Linked DNA regions of Cricetulus griseus. The protein of the gene in region 1 purifies or fractionates together with the protein of each later gene. This does not show direct contact. Links are inferred from orthologs where the notes say so. Each region holds a gene or a part of one and is shown in the gene's direction. Other genes may lie near its edges. The genes, in order: Mbip, Zzz3 and Kat2b.

Region 1 (3,652 bases):
AGTCCCCTTTCCCTCTTAGGTTGATAGGACAGTGTGTACAGAACACCATATACTGTGTAGCACTGCCATAGATCTTACTCAGTTATCCTTATAATGACCAATACAAATAGTTCTTAGAAAAAACATATGGAGAAAGGTTCATAATTGCACTTAACCTTTTTCTTACTGCCTTTAATATATCTTTTGGCTGGTGATTCTGAGCATGGAATTGTCAGTTGAACCTGGAAGTGACTCACAATCACATTGATACAGGATACTCTTAACATAATAACGTAAGCTCACTTTGGGTTCTAAATCTCACTTTTTCCACTGTTAACTTCTGTGGATCTCTAGAGTTAGCCTTTCAGAACAGGTATGGCAGTGGCAAAATCTCAGGTGCACCAATCAGTTGTGTGCACCTCAAGAGAAAGGGTTTGTTGAGGGAGCAAGTGCATGTGTCACTAATGTTATTCCTCTGTTCTTCCTGCTAACTCTATTATTATAAACCATCAGGGGATAGAAATTGGCAAGAATTGAAATGCTCAGCAGGATTCCTTAGCCCATTCAATCCCTTGCTGGCTCAAAACAGTGCTGGCAAGAATTGCTGTGGAGAACGACTAGCCTCATGCACTCACTGTCCCGCACCACGCTGCATTTCTCACTGATGGCTCTCTGCATTTGGAATATAGCCCTGGAATGGAACATAGCCTTTTTTTTCTTTTTTTTTTTTTAATACCCTAAGACCAGTGAAAGGATAGAAAGAATAGAGAAGTGTAGGCCTCTTATATATATTTTGAGGTGTTTCCAAGGAAAAGAAAATGAGTCTGTTTAGTCTTTAAATATAAAAGATTAAGAGGGTTTGTAATTTTATTTACAGTTTGACTTATCACAGATGTGTTAAACTTAAGCTTAAAAAATACATTATAATGTGTTACTGTATTTTTAAAGACTTTTCAGTTGGTCTAAGAAAAAGAATTAGTTTTTAAAAATCGGATTTCATATCAGATTTCATGAAATAACAAAAGACTTTAACTCATTTTACACCCATTTTTTTTTTTACCAAATAATTATGGAAATTTAACAGAAAATTTACTGCCAATGTATAGCTTTACTATTACTTCAAGCATTAGCATATGTTTCTAGGTTAATGCATTATATAATATATATTATTCATATATTACAATTGTGCTAATATTTAATTGTATGAGTATGTTAACATATTCCTGTTTTCTTTCCTTATAACTTATTTGTCCATACATAATTGAAAAGAAATTGTAGTTTTCACCTTGGTAAAAATATTGGGAAAATTTTCACAATGTATCTTTTCTAAAATTACAGTTTATAAAAAGTAGGATTGAGAGCGATGCCCTTTTGTTTGGCCTTTTTAAAATAAACATTGGAAATCTAGGAACAGAGGGAAAGTGTGCTGTGCTTGAGATTTCAGTGTGTGTTGTACTTGAGGCTTCAGGATCTTTTTAAGTCTATAAAGTTCTGAGACCTAAAAAAAAAAAAAAAAAAACTGTAAAATATACAATCAGTCCCTCTGTTATATGTTCACTAATTTGGTAATAACAAAAATGCTGAAATTTTTAAAAGATAATTTGGTAAATTGTCTTCTGTTTATATAATGGAGTTAGAATATGGGGCTCTAGAATATATGAATTATTTTCTCCAATAATTTTGAGTAATAACTCATTTTATTAAAAATTATCAGAAGTTTTGTCACTTAATGGTTTCTCTATATGTATATCTGAACGTTACATAAAAATATTACTTGTGATTCAATTCAGAGGATAAAGACCACCCAAATTATTCTGTATGTGATAGTAATGTAATTATTAGTCCTTTAAAATTCTCCCATGAGTAAAATATGAATTATTAGGAGTTTATCATAATCTCATAATTTTTAGTTAAGAATATATTTGAACTAAATTCATCCAAATTCTCCCTAGAAAATAGTTGTGCAAGGACTGATGCCGTCTTTACTCCTTATCCTGGATTTAAAAGTCACGTAAAGGGTAAGTAGCTGCTGTATAGTATATGTCACTGGCAAAAGTTTGTTGTAGCTTCATAACAACGTGGAATAGAAATACTTTTCCCATCTAAACTTTATTCTAAACCGAAGGCATTGCCTTTCTTCCTTTTTGAGCTTCTGGTTAGGTGACCATTATGGAAAAGATATACTGTAAGGGAGAGAGAATTTCTGCTTTTGGAGCATAAATTCACATAGGCTTAAAAGTTTCTTAACTTAGTTTCTAGAGTTGTGAATACATATGGACCACAGACTAGACCCGAAGGAATTCCAGGGTCAGGTCACAAACCTACCGGCATGCTTCGAGACTGTGGCAACCAGGCTGTGGAAGAACGACTCCAGAATATTGAGGCCCACTTGCGATTGCAGACGGGTAAGTAGAGAGTTAGGTGATGTTCTGTAATGTGCTTTTGCAAGTCTTAAGGAAATTAGATTCATTTAGCTTCCGGAGTTTCCCCAAACATTCACTGTAAAGCCCTCGTTCTAGGTGCATAAAACAGTTGCTACTGTCGAGGAATCTGTAAAGTTCTCAGTGTTCATGCTTTCTCTTCTTATACTTCTTGACACTTTCTAAATTGGGAAACAGATCTAGATAGATTTTGTTAGCCTCGGTTTATTGAAGTTCCAACAAAAAATGAATGTAATGTGTTGCTATGGCCAATTTCAGAACTTGTATGACTACCTCTAATTGTTATTAGCCCTTCTGCCAGCTACAAAAATGTAGATAAATGTGGTCCTGGTCTTCAGTGCATTCCTGACAATAAACACATAAATGAGTAAGTATCCTGGGGGAAATGAGCCCATATTTTTTGAACAATACTGTCTCTGAAAGTGCCGTGCCTATATCAACTTAGTGATTAACAGAACTCTGTGGAGGTGTGTGCTATTACTATTGGAAAGGTAGTAAGACTGAAGTCCAAAGAGCTCAGGCAGCCTCCCAGGATATTATAGTAAGTGACAGCTAGGAAGCAAATAGTCTTACCCATTTAGTTACCATGCTCTTAATTCTCCTAAATGTCCCTGCATGTTTCTTCTTCTGCCTCCACAGCTACTGCTGTAGATGAAACTACTGTAATCTCTGTCTTGGAGTGATAGGTCTGTTGGTCAACTAGGTCATTTTCACCCTGTGACCAAATTGCTGTTTTTCAAGCTCATATCTGATGTTGTTTGTACCCAGCTAAAAATTCTTTACTAGTTCTCTGGAGCTCTCAAACGCATAGCAAACTCAGTACTTAGCAGAGAGACTGTGGTCTAGACCAGGCAGGTCTCAGGGATGATACTTGAAACAGTAGAAAGATTCTAAATATAATAATGAACTTGATGTCTAAGTATCTTTAAAACACCACGCCCTCCTCTAAAAGAACTGTCATTGAGAATTATGGGAAAACTCCTTTAAACATTTTTCTAGGTCAAAGGAGAAAATATACCATGCTAGGAGAAATAGGATTTGAAGAGAATGATAGGATAAGCACAGCCATCAAGTGGAACTGTCATCTTGTGACTTCAGTATTTTTCCTTCTAAGTAACTACAACATCTATTAGAAACACTTTCTATACGGAAACTATTCAGTATCCCATAAAATGAATTTTGTAAAACAACTTGTAGCAATATGGGATGCATAAGCAATATTTAGAAAGCAG
Region 2 (4,128 bases), on another chromosome or scaffold:
TACAGTGACAAAAAAAATCTTACGTGCATTAAAATAAGTATAGCAGGCATTGAATCATTGTAATACTTACTTAGATTCTGTTGGCTATACCTAAGTAGGCAGCACATCACCTTTAACAGTAATCTGTTCATTTTTTACTAGATAGAATGCTGGGTTAAAGAGTTGATGATTACACCAGCCCTTAATTTATAATACCCCACTTAAATAGTATCCATTTAAAAATACCTAGTTTAATGCTTAGAAAAAAGGAGCAAGGTTAATGATAAGCGTCTGCTTGTCTTTCTTGTAGTGCTGTTATTGCAGATGGCCACTCCTAATAACCCAGGTAGCTAGAGTATATAGTTTCCAAAAAAGATGCCATACCATGCTGGTAAAACTGCAGTTAGCTATAAACATGCCAAGAATTAGCATGTAATTAAGTTAATTAAAATACCAGACTGAGTATTTAGCTCCGAAAACATTATTGATTCTTTGTGGATTTCACATCACACATATGAATCCCATTCATCTCACTATTGCTTTTTTCTCGTTGAGAGTCTATATGGCTGGGCGTGGTAGTGCACACCTTTAATCCCCTCGCTTGGAAGGTCACTGAGTTTAAAGTCAGCTTGATTATACAGTTAGTTCTAGGACAGCCAGGGCTGCGTAGGGAGACCTTGTCTCAAAAACAAAAAACCACGAAGGGGGTGGGTGGAGAGGAGAGAGACAGAGAGGGAGGGAGGAGGAGGAAAAAAAAATACATGTGGCAGAAAGCACCAGAAGCTTCAAGGGCAGCTGAGTCTTCAGTGTGTCATGTGTGCTGTGATACAGAGGAGTTAAGCTGTGTGCTTAGTCTGCTGGTTGTTGTTAGGCCCTAGGTTTTGTACTCAGTTTTAAATCTAGGAAATCCTTCAGAAATCCTCTAGGTCATCTTTAAGCCAGGGAGGGGCTGGGGGACTTAGATTACAGCAAGTTGCAAGAAAGGGCTGAGTCATGTTTTACTCAAGTTAATAACTGAGTTGTTTGTAAGGATTTGTTATATTTCAAGTTTCTTCATTTCTGTCCTGGTTGCTTAGTGCCCCTGAGACCACTTAGCAGGAAGCACCAAAACATCCCTGTGAAGACACTGTGTGCTTCTGTAATCAGAGTAAATTACTAGCTGAGTTAATTTCCTTATTTAATATTTTTTTTTGTTGTTGTTTTTGTTTTTTTGTTTTTACCATTTTAAAGAGAGGCGGTTAAGAGTTTCTATAGTCTCCGAGGCTGAAGCTGAGAGCCTGAAGCTTAAGCTCTGTTGTAGATCATAGCTTCATCTCCTTGCGGATATAAGAAAAGAAAGACTATTTCCACAATGATAGATCTCTGGTTACACAGGTAAGTTACTCAACTGTGCAGCAGAGATGACAACGGTAGTTTGATTTTGTTTACTTGGGTGGGAGGAGACATGTTATTTTCCGTCTTTCTTCTTCTGCCTTGCTGTTTTATGGTGATCTCAAGCTGTAGGAGATGGGCTGAAGATTAAATACGTTTCCATTTCTTTCTTCTCAACAAATGGATGAAGGAAATGACTGTTGGTATCTTTAGACCATTAAACCTGTCTTTGCCTTAAACGTGTTTAAGGGGCATGTGACCCCTCTTTCACTTCTTCTCAGTTGTCTTCAGTGTGCATTCATTTGAATCTGTCCTGTCTGTCTTTCTATATAGCTCTCTGTCTGTTTGTCAGTCATCTCTTGTATCTCTCTTGATGACAAAGGAGATCCTTTACATATAACTGCATGATAGAATTCTAGACTTCTGATCTGGGACTGTTAACCTTTCAATAATCCAGTGGATAAGGTCAGGCGTTGTTCTGTTACACTAGATTGATAATTGTACAGTTGAAATAATCTGTCTTTTAAAAGAGTTGTATGACTAGCTGTGTGACAATGCGCACCTGTAATCCCACCATCAGGGATGCGGGAGAGAGTTTTAGGGCCAGGCCATCCAGGGCTGCATAGTAAGACCCTGTCTCAAAAGACATCTCAGAGACTTGTATGATAAACTAAGCCTGAGCACAGCTTATGCTATAGACAGGTAGGAAAGTCATATTGGTGACACCTCTCAGTTACTCTGACATGGTTTTGCCTTTGATTTTGGTCTTTACACCTGAAAATATATGGGTATTGTGACCAGTTTTCTTGAAGCTGTTCACTTAGTAAAACTGATACGATGATAATAATACTGGTGTTAGTCAGGCGTTGGTGGTGCACACCTTTAATCCTAGCACTTGGGAGGCAGAGGCAGGAGGATCTCTGTGAGTTCAACATCAGCCTGGTCTACAGAGCACATTCCAGGACAGGCTTCAAAGCTACACAGAGAAACCCTGTCTCCCCCTCCCCCCCAACAACAAAAAACGGTGTTAGCTGAGCATGGTGGCGCATGCCTTTAATCCCAGCACTCCAGAGGCAGAGGCAGGATCTCTGTGAGCAGGAGGCCAGCCTGGTCTACATAGTGAGTTCCAGGGCTACATATCAAGACTCTGTCTCAAAAATACAAAACAAAAACCCCAAAATATAAAAATAATATAATACTGATATTAGTTACCAACTCCTCAATTCCTAAAGTAAACTGGGACACTTTTGGTGAGTAGAAAAGGAGCCAGAGATTACAGGTACTGGATTAGAGATAGCCTTTGAGTAAAAATGCAGCGGCATCGTGCATTGTTTCTAGTGGGTGGGCCTTTGTCTGTCCTGTTTCTTTTGGTTCTGATTGAGTTGTGTGGGTGTGGTCACGGGTTAGAGGTTTATGATAATGTTTCAGGACTTTACAGGTTTATAAAGGTAGATTCCAGTTTAGGGGAAGGTGGTTCAGTGGAAGGGCTGATAAGAGTTTGGATGTATGGATTGAGGGCAGCTTGGGAACTCTGTGGACAAGCTGAAGAAGTTTGGTTGGTTGGCCCTTTTCATTCTGTAAGAAGACTTAGGAGGATGGAGAATGCAGGACAAAGTGTGCTTAATTCTAGTGAGGTTCATACTCTCACTGTCCCCCAGAAACACTGCTGCTCAGTAATTGGTGGGTAGCATAGGACAGCATCAGTCTCATTACTAAAATGTGAACTCAGGGTTTCCCTTAATTCTAAGTGTCTTTTACCAAATGGGTGTGGCTAAGGCTGTCACCAGTTGTCTCTTATTTTAGTTTATCAGTAAAGGTATCCTGGGCTAGTTGGCAAATAAATGGGTTCCATTCTATTGCCGTAACTACTTCATGTTTGGCAAGCATACAATTATATGCCCAAACCTCACTGGATTTTTTAGTGACTTTGTATTTAGTTAAAATGAAGAAAATAACAGCTTTAGTTTGTACTTCTTTGCTAAATAAATAAGCTTGGTACAACAATATTGAAATTTGGTTGGAATAATGTAGACATACTTCATTAAAAGTCCCTTATTGATGAATGGCTTTATATTCAGTTTATCTTATATAATTGTTAAACATACGTATACTTCATGTATGCTTATGCAAAAATAGGAAAAAGGAAGAAAATACGTAACAAAGATTTGTTGTACTTGGCCTTCATACTTTGATTAGGTTTTTACTTTACGTGTATTAAGATAATTTTATAAACTGCTGTTTGGTGCTTCTTTAGCCGAAGTGATCATGATCTGATTTATAATGTGTTGTTTTAATCATTATGATTTAATAAAATATTAAGGAGAATTATGTATCTAATTTGGTTTGCAACTTGGTGATTGAATTATTAGGCCACTGCCTTGAGTGCAGAGATACCAGCGTTTCCCAGACGCCAGCATGGATGAATGGGTTGCATAGGGCCTTATACTCTGCAGTTCTTTCTTCCTTCTTGTCTTTTTCCCCTTCCGTTCTAAGTGTCAAAACACAGACCTGGGTTTCTAGCAAGCTCAGGATGTGGGCTCTCAGGCCATGCAAGTTACAACAGATTGAAATACCAGGAAACACTTGCTGTAAAATGTGCTCCTTGTTAGTCTTCCAGCATGTCTACAGTTTTAGTCCTTTCCCAATGATCACAGCCCAGTAGTTGGATAGTACTAAAACCTTTTTAGGGAATGAAGGACACTAATCAGTGTTTTAGTTTTATAACCAATTATGAAGAAAAGTACAGGCTTTCATAGGTGCTATTTGATTGTGGTTTTC
Region 3 (3,652 bases), on another chromosome or scaffold:
GTAATTGGTACATAGCATTGGTGGGCTTCAGTTCCTAGGCTGGGACCTGAGAGGCTGAGCTGAGTGGTGATCAGGCCTGGAGCATGAGCACTAACCCTTCCTCTTTGTTTTCTCTTCTTTCAAGTAAAGAGCCCAAAGACCCTGAGCAGCTTTACAGCATCCTTAAGAACATCCTGCAGCAGGTGAAGGTGGGTACCTGTCCTGCACCTCATTTGAAATGGTTTTCCACATGGCATTTCCATATTAGATACCTTATTTTGTTTCTTTTATTCAAGAGCCATCAAAGTGCTTGGCCTTTCATGGAACCCGTGAAGAGAACAGAAGCTCCAGGATATTATGAAGTTATAAGGTTCCCCATGGGTAATGCTATTACAATTTTCTCAGTATAGATATAAAACTGGGTGGTGATGTGGGAGACAAATATTGGCTTTGGCAGCCTGGGAGACCAGCTGCAAGACTGCACAGGGCTCGAAGGGAAAATCCACAGCGTTGGCTCCAACTAAGACCTTTTCATCTGACGGGGGTTAGGGGAAAAAACAAACACTTATTCTCTTAACGATTCCTTTCTTTATTCTCTTATGTTGTTCTCCTTTGTTCCCTCTCCCCAATGGCTTAAATACAGGCATCACGAAGGGGTCATATTCTGTTTCTTAAGCGATTAAAAGCAGAGTTATTAGACAACTTATGTGCAACATATTACAGAGCAAAGAAAGAACATTTTTTTAGTCAACTCTTTTATTGGCAGGCTGCAAATTTCAGTAGTAAAGTAAAAAAATCAGTCACTTTATTATTTATCTTGAGAGGTAGTCTTCTTATAAGGAATTTTATCTTATAAGGAATTTTATAAATCTAAACTACTGAAGAGTCTAAGAAGGTAAGAAAACAGCCCTATACCTTTTGAGTGTCATTAGAACTGATGGCCATTTTGTCCTTTGCCCTGGGTTTTTCCAGGCAGGGGAAAGGCAATTTTAAACTAACCCATGACTATATAAACATTTTGGACTAACATTCTGTAATCAGCAGTCGTAAATTCTGGGTTTTATCAGATTTCTCAGAGTGCCATATTTTAGAAAAAAAGACTCTCCAGGTGTCGTGAATTCTCTAGTTCAGGCTCAGGTCAACATTCATGAGTTACCCTAAATCTTTTAAGCATCAGCTCAGCTGGAACTTCCCAAGACATTGTGAGACCAATAGTACTTTAAATCTGAAAATATACTTTCTGTCCTACGTGTAACTCTAGACCATAAAAACAAAACAAAACAAACAAACAAAAAACAACTTGTAACTCTTTCTTGGGGCTATAAAGTCAAATTATTTTCTGTAGCCCTGACCAGGTAGAATATCTTTCCCTGTAGTGTTTCTGAACAAAAGCTGTTTCTGTTTCTAGACCTCAGCTTTTTGCTCCCTGTCATCTGTGCAATTCCAAGACCCAATATTTTTCTACATAAAAACAGTTGGCTGAGCTTTAAGTCTTCAGGGAACATACCTGTATCAGAAAACTGAGGTCAGGGTTTGTGCAGAGAATTAACTATTGTCTTTGGTTATCAGCCAGACCTAGCAAGGAAAGTGTGTGCAACAATCGGTTTGTTCTGCACTTTCAACCCAGCCCAATAAATCAGACAGTTCAGTTATATGTCCTTGTAAACTTTAGGATGTACTCATGAGATAAACACACTACAATACAGGCAGAGGGAGACTCCTCACAGCTACCAGGGAAAGATTGTAGTAGCATATGTGAAGGTACAACAGAAGCAAAAGCAAAAGATACCTCGGAGTCTGTATCCTGGTGACCTTGCTTAATGAGGTTTTCCCATCAGAGTTCCACCTGGGGTATGTGTGTGTGCAGATTATTTTGGGCTGGAGCAATGGCTCAGCACTTAAGATCACTGAATGATCTTCCAAGATCTGGGTTTGGTTCCTAGCACCCATATGGCCACTTATAGCCCTTTGTAATTCCAGTTTTAGGGGATTCTATGCCCTTAACTGACCTTAAAGAGCACCAGGCATGCACATAGCACACAGACATACTCGGAAACAATCTATACAATTAAAACAATAATAAATGATTATTTGGTAAAGTTGAAAGTCAAAAGTTAGTTTGACTTCATTGATAGAGCCTGGAGCAAAATTCATTTGTTTTACTTTTAGTATTTTATGTGCAGGTTACTGATGCATTTGCAAATAAGATACTAGCCTCTTTCTTTGTGGCTTTAGTAAAAACTAGCTCAACCTATAAATTTAGCAATCAAAGATTCTGTGCCAGTGTTCTGCCTGCCTCAATCAGCATCCCTGTAACCTCTACTGTTCCTTAGCCTCCTGGTGCACAGTAAGAGACGGGAGCAGACAAGTACTTAGGTCCTTTTAATGTTAGTGTGGGTACGTGTTATATATAAAATCCTTTTCAGAAGAATAGACTTAGAATTATTTTGCTTAATGCGATGGAATTTCTTGTAAGCATGGCATTGGGGTGAGAAAGATGTAAGCACATCAGTAGCATACATTTCTTCCCACCTTACATTGTCAGCTGTTGTGTAGGAGGAGTCAACAGTTGCTAATGTTGTTGTTTCCTGTGCAGATCTGAAAACCATGAGCGAACGTCTCAGGAACAGGTACTATGTGTCTAAGAAATTATTCATGGCGGACTTGCAGAGAGTGTTCACCAACTGCAAAGAGTACAACCCTCCTGAGAGCGAGTACTATAAATGTGCCAGCATCCTGGAGAAGTTCTTCTTCAGTAAAATTAAGGAAGCAGGGTTGATTGACAAGTGATTTCTTTTCCTTAGACACTCATCAGCAGTGTGCCTAAAGCAGGTGGTTTAGGTTTTGGGTTTTTGTTTGTTTTTAAGAATTGTACATCATGTGTTGAAGAGACTTGTAATAATTAGCACTTTTGAAAAACAAACAAAACCTCCTTTTAGCTTTTTAGAGACGTATTTAAATGGAAATCATAGAAAACTTTATTTTGTGGAGTAGATTTTAATTTATTTACTACTATCGTGTAAATTTTCTCTGGCATGTCCAGTAGCTGACTAATGCATGGTAGATGATCAGGGGCTTCCTCAAAACCTGTTTGTGAGGAAATTGCACACAGTACCAGGATTTATGGGAATCTAGAGAAAATTTTGACCATGAATGTCTCCATTTTTTTTTTAATGGAACATGAGAGATTATTTTATTCTGAAGGACTTTAAGAAAAGGGTCCACAATACGCCTGTCAAGGTGAACTATGTGATGTTTGAAGTCTCACTGTAGACCTTTTACGAATATATATTTTTTAAAACACTCATCTAGATGAGGTGCTTTGAGCAGTTCTGAAAAATGCAACTTTCACAGCAGCAGCAGCAGCTGTGACTCCTGAGGAGGGGACTTTTATAAGTGTCTTCCCCTCACAGGCTTGAGAGTGCACAACCACTATTTAATAATTCTTGGCAGATATGTGTCCATGTCATATTTGCCTTTGCTTGTGCAGGTTCTAAGTTCTAAAAGATCCTCTCCCAGGCCACAAAGGTGTCAACTTGAAAACATTGGAGGTTTTGTTAACGTTAAGACATGTGTCCTAAATACTTATGAATGCTAGGAGTCTTGCTCCAAATAGGTAAGGGTTCTTGTATTTTCTGGTACATTTAACCCTATCAGCAATATCTGTGTGAGC

What was found.
Region 2: the proteins of Mbip (region 1) and Zzz3 purify together in Homo sapiens (affinity purification with mass spectrometry; 4 studies listed by BioGRID and IntAct, counting the BioPlex papers as one, with this or other methods). This does not show direct contact. The link is inferred for Cricetulus griseus from reciprocal best matches to the Homo sapiens genes MBIP and ZZZ3.
Region 3: the proteins of Mbip (region 1) and Kat2b purify together in Homo sapiens (affinity purification with mass spectrometry; 4 studies listed by BioGRID and IntAct, counting the BioPlex papers as one, with this or other methods). This does not show direct contact. The link is inferred for Cricetulus griseus from reciprocal best matches to the Homo sapiens genes MBIP and KAT2B.

What each region holds. Positions count from the first base shown.
Region 1 is NC_048598.1:146,092,619-146,096,270, forward strand, and holds part of Mbip (MAP3K12-binding inhibitory protein 1), read left to right. Parts: intron 1-1,931; coding exon 1,932-1,997; intron 1,998-2,231; coding exon 2,232-2,384; intron 2,385-2,709; coding exon of another isoform or gene 2,710-2,735; exon of another isoform or gene 2,736-3,652. UniProt on the Homo sapiens protein: Inhibits the MAP3K12 activity to induce the activation of the JNK/SAPK pathway. Component of the ATAC complex, a complex with histone acetyltransferase activity on histones H3 and H4.
Region 2 is NW_023276806.1:6,917,174-6,921,301, reverse strand, and holds the start of Zzz3 (ZZ-type zinc finger-containing protein 3), read left to right. Parts: upstream 1-1,215; 5' UTR 1,216-1,330; coding exon of another isoform or gene 1,331-1,353; intron 1,354-4,128.
Region 3 is NW_023276806.1:249,614,216-249,617,867, reverse strand, and holds part of Kat2b (histone acetyltransferase KAT2B), read left to right. Parts: intron 1-124; coding exon 125-188; intron 189-275; coding exon 276-360; intron 361-2,575; coding exon 2,576-2,769; 3' UTR 2,770-3,652. UniProt on the Homo sapiens protein: Functions as a histone acetyltransferase (HAT) to promote transcriptional activation. Has significant histone acetyltransferase activity with core histones (H3 and H4), and also with nucleosome core particles.